Danio rerio: one gene and its partner. The protein of the gene in region 1 purifies or fractionates together with the protein of each later gene. This does not show direct contact. Links are inferred from orthologs where the notes say so. Each region holds a gene or a part of one and is shown on either strand. Other genes may lie near its edges. The genes, in order: insig1 and scap.

Evidence for each region.
Region 2: the proteins of insig1 (region 1) and scap purify together in Homo sapiens (affinity purification with western blotting; 11 studies listed by BioGRID and IntAct, with this or other methods). This does not show direct contact. The link is inferred for Danio rerio from reciprocal best matches to the Homo sapiens genes INSIG1 and SCAP.

Annotation. Positions count from the first base shown.
Region 1 is NC_133182.1:41,356,816-41,365,963, reverse strand, and holds insig1 (insulin-induced gene 1 protein), read left to right. Parts: upstream 1-3,192; 5' UTR 3,193-3,351; intron 3,352-3,516; 5' UTR 3,517-3,522; coding exon 3,523-3,856; intron 3,857-4,469; coding exon 4,470-4,594; intron 4,595-5,209; exon of another isoform or gene 5,210-5,393; coding exon 5,394-5,560; exon of another isoform or gene 5,561-5,777; coding exon 5,778-5,877; intron 5,878-7,759; coding exon 7,760-7,789; 3' UTR 7,790-8,566; downstream 8,567-9,148. UniProt on the Homo sapiens protein: Oxysterol-binding protein that mediates feedback control of cholesterol synthesis by controlling both endoplasmic reticulum to Golgi transport of SCAP and degradation of HMGCR.
Region 2 is NC_133191.1:45,514,925-45,523,367, forward strand, and holds part of scap (sterol regulatory element-binding protein cleavage-activating protein), read left to right. Parts: intron 1-1,452; coding exon 1,453-1,948; intron 1,949-3,431; coding exon 3,432-3,517; intron 3,518-3,611; coding exon 3,612-3,694; intron 3,695-4,134; coding exon 4,135-4,301; intron 4,302-4,622; coding exon 4,623-4,703; intron 4,704-6,450; coding exon 6,451-6,657; intron 6,658-7,070; coding exon 7,071-7,316; 3' UTR 7,317-8,443. UniProt on the Homo sapiens protein: Escort protein required for cholesterol as well as lipid homeostasis.

The DNA of each region.
Region 1 (9,148 bases):
GTAAATAATAAACATGTCTAATAATTAAGACTTTAGTCGCACAATATAAGAGGCATGATGTTGATCTTCCTAAATTTTAGTTTTTAAAGGGCACCTATTTTACACCCTTCACAAGATGTAAGACAAGCCTTTGGTGTCTCCAAAATGTGTCTGTAAAGTTTCAGCTCAAAATACCCATCTGATTATTTATTAAAGGTTCAGGAAACCCTCGAGCACTTTTTTTTTGTTGTTGAGGTTTTTAAAGATTTGTTGATCATCAAAAAAAAAACAAATGTAGCAGGGCATTATATTACTGTTTATTTCTTTGCATTTTAACTTTGGAAACCTTAAAATCATGGATCTCCTCAAGGTTTGTGTCTCATTTTGTGTTGCCAACTGACAACAGTTCCCCTCCTTCTCCCCTGCTCTGCTGGCCACACCCACTCCTGCCTCTGCTCAAGGAGCTCCACACCCATTATGATGCTTTTTTTTAAATTTCTGAGGTAGACTTAAACCGTAAGTGGGGGGGTTCATGGCCCTTTAAAGCCTCCAGAATTTGCCCATTTTTGGTGTCTAAATACAGTGTAGCTGTTTTTGTAGCCTGTGGCTTTAAATGCAAATGAGCTTCTTCTCTCTGCCCACCTTCCCATGTGTGTGTCTGCTTCTGATCATGCGGTATGTCAGATAAACAGCACAGCGACAGAGACAGACTTGAATAAAGCTGAAATACAGTTATTCATCAAAAATACCAAGTTTATTTCATGTATTTGTGGTGGAGTTTTTTCAAGCCTTCCTGAAATTATGAATCTCACACAAATGCTGTTTGCAGTACACACACACACACACACACACACACACATTATGTTTACTGACACGATACAGTCGTGGTGAATATAGTGGTTAAGAATTGGATAGCATTTTACTGTCTTAATTCCAAACATGCTGTTTTAAAAAAGTTTTAAACTTATAAAAATCACTGAAAGTTGTAACAGATATTTTACTCCCAATTTATTTGCAAAACTCTCAGACTGCTTTTGAACATTCCAACATGTGCGTACTTATAGTCTGCAGGAACCTTAGGTCTTAAACAGACTTCAGTATTATGACATAATTCCAGCTGAAACAGAGTATTAGAGAAAAGGGTTTCACTTCAGCGCTTTACTTTATTAGCCGATTATTAAGAATATTGTGATTTCCAAAGAAGCGTCTTTCCAGAGCAGAAGCTAATGGAGTGGAGATAGACACGTTTACATGGAAATCAGTAATCAAATTATTTCTGAATATGGCAATATTATGATTAAGGTGTTTATGAGTAGCTTTTTGAATGTTCCTTTCATGATCCTGTTTTACATGTTATAGCACAAAATTCGATTATAACGTCATCACGCTATCCACATTTCCACATTTCCTCCGGAGTAATGTAATTTGATGTAATTTCGGGTGTTTCATTTTTAATTTGTTGACTTCAACTACAGTTTGACTCTTTCACTTTCATTCAGGAACATTTCATTCATGCCCCCTGTGACAAACAAGATATTGGATGAGATTAACAGCTGGAAGAGTGTTGTTTTAATATAATTTGATATCGCAGTTTGCCATCTTAATTAACATAAACAAAGAACACTGATCGCTTACCAAAACTAGACAGGACAATCAACATCAACTAGAACCGCGTTTTTTTTAAAAGAAGGAAAGCGGCAAATCTGGATTTCACCATTTCCAGATGTGAAAAGCTCATCTGGTAAAAAAAACACTGACGATCCATATCTCCAAACAATTCTTCTTCTACTACTTGTTTTAATTATGGTTGGTCATCTGGGCACTGTAACAGGTAAAAACCGTCTTTGAACTATATCATGCATATTAATGAAGTTGCACCTCATTCACAGTAGAGCGCGCTGATTGGTTCGAACCAAGTCTTTGTAATGAATTTATGCTGAAAACTCAGACATCATGTTGTACCGGTTCAGACATCCAGTCTCCATGCTGGAATTTACACTATGATCTCATGGCCGTAACGCAGCTTCAAAATTTCTTTTTAAATCTGAAGAATGAATTGGCTCAAATATTGCAAAACCCACCAATTTTCACTTTTTTGTGAAATATATGTGTCCTAATAGTGTTTTAGCAACGTGAGTCATATTTATGATTGTCAACATCTCAAAAAAATGTGTTTTGGTGTTTCGTGACTCGTTAACATCCACAGCACGTTTCCATTGCACATAAGTTTCTCTGTTGAAAAAAGGTTCATTAATGTGTTTAGGATGTCTTTCACACCAATAAAATAATGCTTCTTTTCTGAACTTTCATCAACACAAAAGCTTTTTAGATATCAAAAATGGTTATTTTCTAGCACTGCAACGAAAAGCCCATTTTGGAACCTTTATTGTAAAAACAGCAGCTAAAGAGTTGTTGACAGTCATTCTTGACAAGGGGCAAACATCAGACTCATTTATCTGGTGAGGAGTGGTTCCACTGAGGTAAGAGACTGAACTCTGTTCTGCTCTGAATCAATAAACTATAAGTACACAAGTTTATTTACAGTGGGGGAACAGCCCACTGAGCATCATGACCTGATTTCTTGTTTTCAGTCTCACGGACACGTACTGCACGCTGTCACGTATAGCCAACAAATCCGCATTATCTCATACACTTTCAGGGCCTGTTCACTCATAGTGAACTAAAAAAAAGTTCATATCAGCAAAAAGCTTTCTTGTCTGTACCCTGAAAAGATTACAAATACATTTACCCAACAAGTAGTTTGTTTTGTGCAAACAGGAGAACAGCAATATTGAACACTGAGAAAATCTCGAATCAGTGCTGTATTGCTTAGTTACTGAAAAGGATTTAGCAAAGCAAGGTCATTAAACTTAACCAATCTAGAAGTTTAAGACTTTTCTGCATGACTCTGGCATAGCGTCAACACACACACACACACACACACACACACACACACACACACACACACACACACACACACACACACACACACGCACACGCACACACGCACACGCACACACGCACACGCACACACACACACACACACACACACACAAGGCGAACAGCTGATGGCGAACATCAACAGCGCGTGTCTGTCAGAGAGGGGTGGCGCGCGTTCGCGTCATATGGCCCGCCGCACTCTGATTGGCTAGAGAGACTCACCAGACATGACCGCGCTTGTTTTCTGCAGAGGAAGCGCGCGTGTGGCAGTGTTCAACTGAGGGATGAAAAGAGGCAGCAGTATTTCTCTTACAGATGATGTGATCAAACAACACATCTAAACTATTTGTAGGTAGCCTTTCGTTTTTGTAAAAGAGTTTTGAAAGCACAGACGTGTTCTGCTTTAGACGAAGACATCGCTAAAAGATCAAGGTGGGTAGCCTATTCATTCCCTTTACTTCCACTTCATACTCATTGGGAACAGATTGTTTTTTGGGCTACAGCACTGCTTTTTGTAGCGTAATACTTGACTTTCAACATTATTTTATTTGATCAAGTTAGTGATAATTATTAATGAGTATTACTGTTTTCCAACAGTGCCAAATGCCAAGACTAGAGGAACATTGTTGGAGCTGCTCCTGTTCGACCAGTGTGAAGACGAAGGACCTGTCAAGCGCCGGCTGGATTGTCTGTAAAACGGGTGAAATGATGTCCATCATAACCTCAGTGCTGAGCCACGCGTACGGCTCTCTGCACAGCCTCCAGTCCGCCAATTTAATTCGACGGGGGCTTGTGTTGTTTATCGTGGGAGTTGTGCTCGCTTTGGTGTTAAACTTGCTACAGATCCAGAGAAACGTTACATTGTTTCCAGAGGAAGTGCTGGACACGCTATTTTCGTCCGCCTGGTGGATTCCCCTCTGCTGTGGCACCGCTGCTGGTGAGTCTGTCTGAAACACTTGGGCTCGAATGCTTTGTTCGTGACGATAACAAACAAAGACGGTGTGCTTGCTGAGGGCTTTTTGTTATCGTGTCTTTTATGTAAGATGAGTGATTCGGGGACAGTTTTGTTGACATTGGGCTTTGTAGCTATCAGTAAGCGCTGCCCTGGTAACAGCCGGGCATTTGGGGTCATTCTTGGGGTGCTGCATTCTCATTGGCTGCGCTCAGAACGGGTGAGCTGCGAGAGAGGCACGCCATTGGCTGGTACGCCGAACATGCCACTTACCCGAAAAGAGAAACACGGAAGTCGTGTGCAGCAGAAATTAATAAATAATTCGGTCACGCTCGACTCCTCCCCCTGCATTCCTCATAGTGGTGATGTGGACGCGTATCAGTTTACATCCTTTTCAGTAGAAAATGCCTTTTAAAGAGTTTTGTTGTACTTGAACTCTTCTTATGAGATTTATTTAAACACAAAAGTCATCACCCATTATTTATATACTAAAAGGCGTCAAACAATACCAAGCAGATGTAAAAAATGTTTTTTTCTTCTTCTTTTTTCCCCCTTTCAATGAATGTTGTTTAAAGTACTTTCTGTTTTCTCTTCTCAGCTGTGGTTGGTCTGTTGTACCCCTGCTTGGACCACCATCTTGGAGAACCACACAAGTTCAAGCGGGAGTGGGCAAGCGTGATGCGCTGCATTGCTGTCTTTGTGGGCATCAATCACGCCAGTGCTGTATCCTTAACAGTGACACTTTTACAGTTGCAACCATTGTGGACAATGAAAACTTCCAAACCTTTTTGAGATTTTTGTTTTAAGTCTGTAATAAGCCATGTTACTATTCAATAGCATTAGACAAATCCTTTTTTTTCTTAATCTCTTAACTGTCACATATTTATTTGTTTTTGTCTGAACCTGAATTTATCTTGACAAATTATACATCAAAGGCTAAACTAAAAAAGTGGGGTGACCCGTTAAAGTACTAAACATATTTACACAGCAATAATCTATGCAACGAGAATTATGCTTATCTAATATTTTTAAAAAGTCTTATGTATTGAGGATAGTTGTAATAACGCTGAAAAATGACTAGAAATGCTCAGTACTCTGACCCGGCCAGAAGTTGAAAACTCTGCACACGATATCATTTAACCTTTTTTAAGTTTTGTTTTGACGACTCTGAGTCTGTGTTTTTGGGTAAATGAACAGCAAAAATGCATAAAAGTTTTTATTTTTTGTTGTCATGTAAATATACCTTAAAACTTTACATTAACTCTGAACTCAAACAGTAACATGCACTTCATTGCCAAGAAACCCCATGTAAATGAGAACTGGGTTTTTTAAGAACTAAAAAAAAAAGTTTTTAATAAATTTGACTACAAAGTTTTTGTGGAACCTGTTTACTGCTCTCCAAATGTGTGGACCAGCAAAAACTTGGGAACCTGCACAAACTCAATTCTTGAGTTAACATCACAATGTTTTCAAAATGTATGTTAACATAAGAATATTTTGCTTAACTCAAAGTACCTTACAGAAACTGGACTTTGCTAACAATGTGCAGCTATCGCTAACTCTGGCTGCCCTGTCTCTGGGTCTGTGGTGGACATTTGACCGCTCCAGGAGTGGCTTTGGTTTAGGGCTGACCACTGCCCTGCTGGCCACTCTCATTGCTCAGCTGCTGGTCTACAACGGCATCTACCAGTAAGTTATGACTCAAACATGTTGACAAACAGCAACAGAAAACTGTTTTCATATCAACTAGCAAGTAACTAACACTCTCACATATTCATAATTTTAGTCGTAGAACATGTTTTTTTTGTAAGAAACATTAGCAAATATTATATCAAGTGCAAACACTCAGTTTTGTTTTTCCTTTAAGCAGCTCGTCATTTCAGTCCTTTTCTTCATTTGTTACCAGGTATACTTCTCCAGACTTCTTGTATGTCCGTTCATGGCTGCCTTGTATATTCTTCTCTGGCGGAGTGACTGTTGGAAATATTGGCAGACAACTAGCTATGGTAAGAAACTGCCCCTCATACCAGCCCCCTTTTCCAGTCTTTCATATTCCACAGAATAACTGATGTACTTGATTACTCATGTATTGTGGTTAGTTTCCTCTTGTGTTATGCACAAAGCCAATGGCCACTTTTGTTTAGCTTAAAATAAATAAATGGCAGAAATGAAACTTAGCTTTAGCTAAAGCAAAAGTGAAACTCAATATCTTGGCTCATCAGCTATTCAGCTGTTCCTCTTCTACTTGTATCCAGCCTGCGTGTTTTAGGAAGTAAATCAAACTTGGAGCCAGAATATTTAACTCAACAATTTCAATGTGTACAATTTAGCATGCAGCCGTAAGCTCTGTTCAGACAGGATTATTTTCTAAATGACATTAAAAGACAGTCATTAAAACAGGACTTGTGGCTTTCATAAACTGATTCCAATTAGGTTGGGAATCAAGTTTAACATTAGCAAAAGGAAGTGTAAAGATGGCTTGGGTTATTGTATTTGATGAAGGTAAAACTATCTAGATGTGAACAAACTAGGTAGCTGAAAAGTGGCAGGCAGTTTGTATTGTAATATTCATTTATACTTATAAAAATAAGCTAACTAAGTTTTAAATCTGCCTTAAATAAATGAAAACTAGGATTTAGGATTTTTGTGCATTCTCTTAAATATGTATAAACTATTTTCAGTATCCAATGTATTTCTTTAAAGCAACCAGTTTACCATTTTAGTGTTCTTTTGACACCCTCTAGCGCCTGAGCAGAAACGTCATGCTTGGACATCTTAATTAGCTTGTTTGTGCCATCCCCTCCAAGCCTTCTCAGTCAGCTGTGGCTCTTTGTCTTGCTGACATACCCTAGTTCTTTCTCAATAAGGGCGTGAAAGAAGATTACGCTCCTTGTTTTTCATGCTAATGGTCAGAGAGATGGTAAACAAAGTGCTTTACTGGCTCCAAGTGGTGCATTCTACACGTTGTTACTGGATGCTTTTTGTTTTCGAGCTGGCATCGGCTGATTTTGCTTGACCAATTGGGATTAGTGCTCTGCTAGTATTTTTCCCAGCTTTCTTTATGGAGGGGCCAGTTAAGAGATAGAGTTGATTAAAAAAACTAGAGGTAAATAAATCTAGTAAACCCGGACGTTTGCGTTTGTTAATCTTTTCATGTAAATAATGGCTGTATTTTAGAATACAACTATGATCATCAATTATGGTCACTCTACATAGTTTGGTTTAACATCTGACTAATTAAATAGTTCGATATCTAGTTTACACCATTAACACCTTTACCTTTTTATCATCGTCATTTCGTTGTGTACTGTAGGTGCACTGGAATCATTTAGAGAACATTGCCTGTATATGAAACGTTGTCATTTTTATTTCAACATTAGCTTTCCTAAAGACGGATTCAGCTGCCCTTGGGTGAGGCATGGCAGACAGTGCTGACCTACGAGGGGCTATCAAATTTTACAAGGCTGCCCATCCACATATAATCCTAACATATACAAAGCCCATTTCTTATATATAGTGCATACTAATTATGGCCACAGTGTTGAGAGGCCAAGTGGGTTTAACGGGATCAGGCTCAGCTTCATGAAAACCAATTTTGAGTTGCTCAAAGCACATTTTTAAAAGCACACCTGGGAACATGCTGGAACATATTTAGGTAGTTTGAAAGTCAGCCAAGTGCTCTGACTAATACATAATAATATAGTCAGGATAGTTTCTGCATATTAATGCTGCTTTTTGGTTGTATTGTACGCTGGTGTAGTTTATGCCCATTCCTATATTTTATGGAAATTAGGGACTTAATGCAAATTGAGCTGTTTTTCAGTTGTATCTATTTGGTTGTGAATATACTGTATTTTCACCTAACAGACTGTCTGTCTTCTTCCACAGGGCTCGACTGAGAAGATTCATAATGACTAAACAGGTGTCAGAGGGCATGAAGTGAGCTTCGAAGAGTGCCAAAAAAGGACATCTGATATTCTATACTGGGCGTCCCTGGTGTCTATCCAAGCGTATCTTCTGCTTTTAATTTTGCTCCTCTTTATAACTATAAAAGAAAAGAAAGAGCGGGTTGGTCTGAGCTGGCCCAATGTGCCATGAACAACACCTCTGAATAGCCAAAAGATTCCCCCTGGCATTCATTACTACCATCAGCGTCATTATCGTCGTTGTTGTTGTTGTTGTTACAGCTCCTAGCAGTAGTGTTACGGTTGCTGAAGTGCCACTATAGGACTGTGAAAAAAAAATCATAGCTGGTTTCACTGACGATGAAACTACTTGTGAAACCACATCTACAATTGAGCGTGTGCTGGTCCTATGGATAAGACCAGGGGGAAAAAAGACAGTGTGAAAATTCACACTTTTTTAGTTTTACTTTGTGCTGGAGAACTGAAAGAAGAAATCAAAGGGAATAAATACAAGAATACCTAAAATATCCAAAGAGGTCTGTGTACTGTCTATATAGGATTAGTTGTAGTTTGATTTTTGAGCTACCCTTAAAGACTGACCACTTTGAGTATTACTATGAATACCAGAGAGCTTTGATTGCCAATCACATTTGTGCCGACTGGTTAGTGTAGTATACTGACTGAATTGATCGTGTTTTTACCATACTTTGTTGCTAATGTAAACCAAAAGTAAGACTAGAAACATTAGCTATCGAGACGTTAAGTGGCACCTTGAAGAAAGAGTCAAACAGAAGAAAAAAAACAAGGATGCTCTTTGTATTAATGTAAATTCACAATGTAGAATCATATAAAATGGTGTAATGAAGTCCTTTTAAAGTTTCTAAACCAAAAGGTTGGAAACTTTTGATAACTAAACATCAGGAAGACATTTTACTGCGGCCTCGAAGGTTTGCAATCTGTGATTGCCTTTGTATTATAGAATTAAGTGCTTTTGTCACTTTCACCCGTACAGTCAATTTTTTTATTTTATTTTTTTGTATTCTATTCATTGTGTATTGCTTTTCACCTGTAGCAGCTTCTCTGTCTAAATAAAGAGGTATCACTGGGCTAGTGTGCAGGTTTGGGGGTCTTAGCAAATTAAGTGCAATCACTTTCTTTGAGCCTGGTATTCTTTCATATTTATTACCTTTTACAATGTTAAGGAACCCCAGATGACTCATATGCAGTATAGTGGCAAACCAGCAATAATCACTTTGTTTATACGTACATACATGAAGGTGTAGTAGGATGGCAAACTCGTTTTTAAAAGAAGTCACACATGAAAGATAATCTTGCAAATGATACCAATGACCATTTCCACTGTTATGGGGAA
Region 2 (8,443 bases), on another chromosome or scaffold:
GCATGCCTTTCCAGCCGCAACCCATCTCTGGGAAACATCCACACACACTCATTCTCACACACAAACACTCATACACTACGGACAATTTAGCCTACCCAATTCACCTGTACCGCATGTCTTTGGACTGTGGGGGAAACCAGAGCACCCGGAGGAAACCCAAGCAAACGCAGAGAGAACATGCAAACTCCACACAGAAACACAGAGGCTCGAACCAGTGACCTTCTTGCTGTGAGGTGACAGCACTACCTACTGCGCCACTGCGTCACTGGAAAATACTATATTTTACATTCATTTTAACTGTTTTAAAAATTGTTATTTCCACTAGTCCTGGATTTATTTGATAATATTACAAAAAAACATGATAATATAAATTGTAAACATTTTTAAATGGTCGATGTGGTTAGTGGTTAGTGCATCGACATAGCACTGAGATGCTTACAGAGATTGATTCCTTTCCGATTCTACCCCTCTCTCTGCTCCCCATGAATTCTTGTCTCTACTTACTTTCTTATAAAATAAAATAAAAAAACGTTAAAAAATATATATATGTATATATATATATATATTTTTTTTTTTTTATTGAAGTATTGCTACAATAAAATGTTTTCTTTTAAATATTACTGTGACTAAAATATTGCTATAATATTACCTGTGATGTTGATTTTTTTTATTATTACAGCGCAAAGTCTTAAAATGTCTTACATTTAAAAAAACATTTTAAATGGGTCTTAGTTTTCCTTTGTTTATGCAAAGCTACCCAGTTGAAAAAGAAATGTGCGCACATCTAGGAATCTCAAAGGCTGGTGCTCGATCAAAAACAAACACCGTAACAAAAGAAAATCGACGCACTGCCACTTTACCTCTCAAAAAAATTGAGATGGTCACCTGATGAAGACCATGTAGTTCGAAACATGACATTAAAACATTTTTTGAGAGCTACAGTTAAGTGGCAGTGTGCCGATTTTCTTTTAATCTAAAGCTACCCATTGATCTATCACACATCCAATCTTTAATAATACATCTCAATAAAACTTTTACCAATAGTCTATTCATAACTAATATTATTACAGTCTTTTGTGCATACATTTAGTTTATTAAAGTTTTAAAGAGTTATTTTTAAGTTATGCTAAAACAAATTGCATGGATTTAAAGTGGGAACATTTTTAAAATATGTGCAGAACAAGCAATGAGATGCTGATTAACTGATCATACAGTATTCATTGTGTGTTAGTCTTTCCATGCTTTTTTGGCATGGTAAAATAAAACCCATATTTTGTCATAAACCATTTTCTCATTTAAATACCATACACAAGTTTAGTGTTTTCCTCTTCCCAATGTATCTTGTTTATCATATCTTGCTGGTTTAATTCAACTTACACAATAATAAAAAAAAAAAAATCACCTTGACCACTACTGTATTGTGTATTTTAACATGCTTGTGTCCTCTGTTAGCCTGCGCAGGAGCAGCAGCAACGGTTGTTGGGAGCACCGTGATGGCTGGGATCACATCAGTGCTTTTGAAGTAGAGGGAATAGCTACAGACTTTCGAGAACCAGGAGGAGCGATGGGAGGCCCAGATGTAGATATTTTCGCTATAAGGAGGAGGACCACCCCTGCTCGTCCTGCACTGTTTGGAGACCAACCAGACCTCACGCCTCTCATCGACACCAACTTCGGGGCGCTGCCTCCATCTCAGGCCCTGAGCGGCTCTGGCTTTGACTTTGGGAGTTTGGTGGAGAAAGCGTACCAGGAGCATGAGCCCTCTCCAGTGTTGGTCTTCCCTCCGTCTCCTCCAGCCTCACAGCAGAGACGCCGCAGCCTCGGGGATCAGCCGGTCCTGCCTCCTGAGCTCCCTCCACAGAGCAGTGCAGACTGGGACAGCTCAGTGTGGGCCATGGAGCTCAGGGGGAACCTCATTGCTACGGGCCGCAGCACTGGAAAATTGGAGGTGAGGGAAAGATGTGATGTTTTTTAACCGTAAATACCTAAAGTTAAAGCCAATATAATTTTTTCTTTTTCAAATATTTTCCAAATGATATTTAACAGAGCAAGGAATTTTTAAAAGTATTTCCTGTAATATCTTTTCTTCTGGAGAAAGTCTTATTTGTTTTATTTCAGCTTGAATAAAACCAGTTGAATTTTTTTTAAAACCATTTTAAGGTCAATATTATTAGCCCCCCTTAAGCAATATTTGTTTTTTGATAGTCTACAGAACAAACCATCGTTATACAATGAGTTGCCTAATTACCCTAACTTGCCTTATCAACCTAGCCTTTAAATGTCAGTTTTAAGCCTTTAAATTTAACTTTAAGCTGAATACCAGCATCTTGATGTCTAGTAAAATAATATGTACTGTCAACATGGCTAAGACAAAATAAATCAGTTATTAAACTATTTTGTTTAAAAATGTGCTGAAAATTGTATGTACATTTTAGGATTCTTATAAAAAACAGCGTTTTTAAGTACAAATATCCCCATAAATACTAATAATGTGCTCAACTGGGTGTACATTTTGAATCAGATTAAAAGATATTATGTTCATGAACTTGATGGAAACACATTTTCTGAATAAATTCCTTGATGCACATCAAAACCATCTTAGGATTTTTCCTCAACAGATAATGTGATTGTATAACTAGATTAACCAGTAAACTGGTTTGCTATCTACTGGTCTGAGGTGGAACTGAAGTGTAAAGAGGAAAAAAAGATAAAAAAATATATATTATTCATATGTGACCCTGCCCTGGAACACACCACCTTATGGTGATTTTGGCAAACGACAAAAATGCATTTAATGGGTTCAAATTATAAATTTTTCTTTCATGCAAAAAAACATATTTGAGTATTAAATAAAAATTGTGTTCCATTTTATATATTTAGTAAATTTCGGTCTGTAAATGTATCAAAACTCGTTACTAGGGCCAGACATAATCTGCGGACATTGTGTGCTATTTCTGCTGAGAATTTAGTAAAAAAAATAAGATTTATTTGGAATGATTAGGAGTATCGTAACTAAAAACTTAATATATATAAAATAATATAATATATGTTTTTAACTTTTATTTCATTTTTAATTTATTTTCATTACTTAATTTAAACAACTTTTAAAGGCAGTTTTGTCAGTATTTGCATGTTTTTGATGTTTTGAAACCTCAGATTCTCTGATAGTTGTTTCTCTGTCAGATATTGATCTATCCTAACAACGTATACATCAATGAAAAGCCTATTTATTTTTTTAATAAAGAAATGACATTTAAGACATTTATCATTCTAGTTTCTTCGTTTTCTTAACTTTCCTTCTGTTGAACCCATGAAAATGTAAACTGCACTTTATAAATATTTCTATTTTTAAGCATAATGTAAATTCAGAACTTTGGATGGGCTCATAGCTAGGGTTTTTAACTTACCTTCTTTATTTTCTGTTCTACCAGCTGTGGGATGCAGTAGAGGGATCTTTACGGTGCAGTAATGAAGATGGAGTTTCTGGAATTACAGCCTTGGCTTTTCTTAACAACAGGTGCATTTCACAGCAATATGAATTGCATGCCTAAGCCACACCAGTTTCACACCAGCTTGCATTCTTCTGCTAACAGTGATGTTTTCTTTTGCAGAATTGTTGCAGCCCGATTAAATGGCTCACTGGATTTTTTCACAGTGGAGATCAACAAGCCACTCGGGTTGCTGCAATATCGAGGTGAGGCATGTCTTTAAGTATTCGGCAAAGAACATTAAAACACTTCTGTTTTTAAAAACCCTGCAAATATCAGGGAATGTAGTGTCAGGAAATGTAATGAAAATTGAAATGTGATGTATACTCATTGACTTAAGTAATTTTTTGACAGTTCACTAAATGCTCTAAATAGCACTTTAAAAAAAATCCTTCAACTCCTCGAATTTCATTGTACGTACAAACCATGATATTATTAAAGATTTTAAGCGAATTAAAAATATATCAAGTCTGGGTAAAGTTTTATTATTGTAGTTTTCTTTGCGGCATGTGTGATTTCAGGGAAATAGTTTTTAGAACTCCAGACCCAATGTTAAAAAAAGAACTGGTAAATTTCTGGAAATATATTAGATCAGAAGGCATGGAAATGTAAAAAATAGTTTACCTGATATATATTTTTGCATCAGGACCACCAGGCCGAGGTAGTCTACCACCGTCCCCCTGTTACAGCAGCGAGGATGTAATCAGCTGTCATCTCACTCGCTCAGTACAGTGTGCCCATCAGAAACCCATCACTGTGCTGAAAGCTGCTGCTGGCAGAGTGGTCACCGGCAGCCAGGACCATACAGTCAGGGTAAGATCATTTATATATAACACACACACACACATATATATATATATATATATATATATATATATATATATATATATATATATATATATATATATATATATATTTATTACAATAGCTTGATAATCTGAAAAGCAAAGGAAGCAACACTTATATAATAAAGTTTACCTAAAATATTAGGTGCTAACGCTTTATGTAGGCACAGATTCTGATTCCTACAGTTAACGCATGCCTACTTTTTATTTAATCTAATTCAGTTCATTTCAATTCAAGTTTATTTGCATAGCGCTTTTTACAATAATTCTAATTTTAATTCCTTTTTAGGTGTATCGTTTGGAGGATTCTTGTTGCCTCTTCACCCTGCAGGGCCACTCAGGTGGTATAACCGCCATCTACATAGACCAGGTCAGAAGCACACCACTATATCACACTTGCATGCTTGTGCAGTACTGCAATGATTGATTAATTGATTGATTGGTTGGTTGGTTGATTGGTTGATTGATTGACAATGAATGGACAAATAAATTAATGTGTGGTTGGTATGTGGAAATATGAGTGAATGGATAGATAGATGGTGACAATGGTGCATACATGGTTGGATACAGGGGTGAATACTAGGTATGAGCTGTTATAAGATTCTGATGGTATGATAACCTTGGATAAAAATATCACGGTTTCACAGTATCATGGTATTGTGATCACTGCTTTAAAATACAATTTTTATTTTCATTTATTTTATTTTTAGTTTATTTTAAATGTCTGGGTAAAAACACAACAACTTTTTGTCAATATATTTTATTTTAAGAAACATTTAAAATAGTTTGGAACAGTAAACATGTCAGACTAAATAACAAAAATAAATCATTGCCTTCTAAAATCGACTTCTTTATCCTTTACTTTTCCCAATTTGTGAAGTTTTTTTTCCTCACCACTGTCACCACTGGCTTGCATAGTTCGGGACTTGTAGAGCTGCGCACCGATGGATTTGCTCTTCAGTGTTTGGACTCTCAACAGTGAATATTAAAACACACTGAACTGAGCTAAACTGAACTACACTTAAACTCTAAAAACTAAAATGACACCATTTCAGTTCACTTTAATCTTCTATGTAAGCCTGCTTTGACACTATCTACATTGTAAAAGCACTATGCAAATAAAGATGAATTGAATTAAAAAGTTAAAAAATTTTATTCAATTTCATATACTGTAGGAACGGTATTACAGGAACATTTAACATTTAGGTTTTAAAACGTTGACTTTTCCAAAACCACAGTAAACCTTGAAACTAGTTATTATCCCATGCCTAGTGAATACATGGATGTATTGTTGTTGGATACATGAATGAACACATGGAGGATACATACATGTATGGGTGCATAAATGCATATTTTGATGGATGGAAGTATATAATATTGGGTGGATATGTTGATTGATAGATAAGATATCTATATTCAGGGTTCCCATAATGATGACATTTTATAAGGTTTATTCCAGACCTATTGAAAGTCAGGGGATTTTATATTTGTTTGGTCCAGGTCATGTCATAACAGGGAAATCAAGAGTTTGTCATTTAAAATTTTACTTAAATATAAATATAAATATATATATATATTTTTCACTTAAATTTTATTCCTTTTCTCACTTGGCAACTGGCAATTATACAGTCACCAGGCTGAACCTGTTAAAATACTGTCACTGGCTAAATTTTGTCTGCTCAGTGCTCAACCAGTCCCTCCTAGATTTAACAAAATTAAGTTTTGATTTTTGCAGCCTAATAGGACTATTCTCCAAATTTGTGGCAATATTTACGACATTTGTTGTGTTGTTTTGAAAACATACACAAAATCACACATCTTAGTAGTATTGTTTTTTTTACCTGAAGATCTACTCAAGACAACTTCTGACTTTTTTTTCATCATAAGTCATGGAAAAAATTTTTAGTCAGTAAAATTCAGGGAACAGTCATGCCATTTTACATTAGACTTTAAATGGAAACGATGTATATTAATTGATGGATGAATGAATGGATGGATAGGTGGGTTAAATCATTTAACTTTCTGTTATTACAATAGTAAGCACATGATTCAGGAGCACTAAAATAAAGTGTTACCTATTCTCTCCAACACTAATGTCCTTCTGTGCTTTGTTATAGACTATGGTTCTAGCCAGTGGAGGCCAAGATGGAGCCATCTGCGTGTGGGATGTCCTAACAGGCAGCCGGGTGAGCCACGTGTACGGTCATCGTGGTGATGTCACCTCACTGGTTTGCACAACATCCTGCATCATTAGCAGCGGTTTGGATGACCTCATTTGCATTTGGGACCGAAGCACAGGCATTAAGCTGTACTCAATACAACAGGTGCGTGATTGGAAGAGTTAAAGGGATAGTTCACACAAAAATCACTATTTACTCACCCGCAAATGTTTTCAACCGAGTTTCTGCCTTCTGTCGAACACTTTTGAAGAAAACTTTCATAAAAGGAACTTTCATAATAGGAAAAACAAACACTATGGAAGTCTATGGTTACAGGATTCAAACACTTTTCAAAGTATCGTAATTTGTGTTACACAGAAGAAAGAAACTGAAACAGTGTTGGAAAACAGCATTGTTGTAAATAAAAATACATCATCATTATCTTCTCAAACAGTGTTGAAACAAATAAAGGGTGAGTAAATGTCAACCGAATATTAATTTTTTGTGAACTATCCTTTTAAGACCGTGTGAATCATTCAACAAAATGAGCATTTTACACAGATATTCTCGTGTTTCAGGAGGTGGGATGTGGGGCCAGTCTGGGGGTGATTTCTGAAAATCTGCTGGTGACCGGAGGACAAGGCTGCGTGTCATTTTGGGACCTGAACTATGGGGACCTGCTGCAGACGGTGTACCTGGGGCCGAGCAGTGAAGGTCAGAGCGTCCGGCAGCTCCTGGTTTTGGACAACGCCGCCATCATCTGTGACTTTGGTAGCGAGCTCAGTCTGGTCTATGTGCCCTCTGTTCTGGAGAAGCTGGACTGAGCACAAACACACATGAACAGCAGCCTGCAGATTCGCAGAGCGGCTGGCAACCCAAGCACTCACCCTTTAAAGAGCATCACCGCTGGGTCACTGCACACATGAATGGCGTTTACATGTCCTCTTATTGTGCACCCTACACTGAGTAGGGAGAAAGCGGACGAGTTCTAGCACATCTGAGCCGGATGGAAATCTTCTTCTCTTGTCGTTCATCAGGCCTGAACACTTTTTTTACTTTTTGCTAGAACATTATACAGATTATTCTGTGTGAATCTAGATATGAGGGTGTTAAAAAAAGCTGCTGACAGCGAGAGGTGGCTCTCCTGCCCTGCCTTAAGATGCCCATGTGTGTGAGTGTGTGTGTGTTTGATGGTGAATGCTGTCCAGCACTAAGAGATCACCATAATATTTGCAAGAACGAAAGGTTGTGGATGGGGCAGAAAAAGGCAGAGTTTGTCCTGCTGAAAGGTTTGAATCTCATGAGAGCTGTAGAAATGTACAGGTTCTTCTTCACCCCGTAATCAAAAGAATTTTCAGAGCTTTGATTACAGTGGAAGGCCTGTATCATAATAACCGCATAGGAAGATGAACCATTGGTCAGGAAAAAGCTATTTTAGGGTCATTATTTTTCTAATATATGTATACACACACACACACACACACACACACACACTACATGTTATTATAACTTATTACTAAATTATTACTAAATTATTAATCTTTTTCAATTCACAACTGTAAGTTTGAAGGGGGTCGCACACCCAATGCAGCGCTCGACAGTTGAAAGTATCACACACCAGACGCGCACAATCGAAAGTCATTTAATATAAAACTATTCAGATGTCGCTCTGTGGCACGGCAGAAGTCGTAACTGGGGGCCACTGTGCTTACCCTAGGGCTGGGCGAGAATGCAAAAAATTATTTTCCATATTAAACGATATATATTTTAATATAAGTCATTAATGCTTTTAGATTTAAAAGAGTAGCCCAACAATGACTGAAGGGTCCAGTAAATGGCCAAACATTTTTGGCAGATAAATATTCAGTGCCCGAAAATTTGGAACATCTCTAATATCAGCACACTTCTAGATTCCATTGTTGCACATTTCTGCTGTGTCATTGGCTCTAAG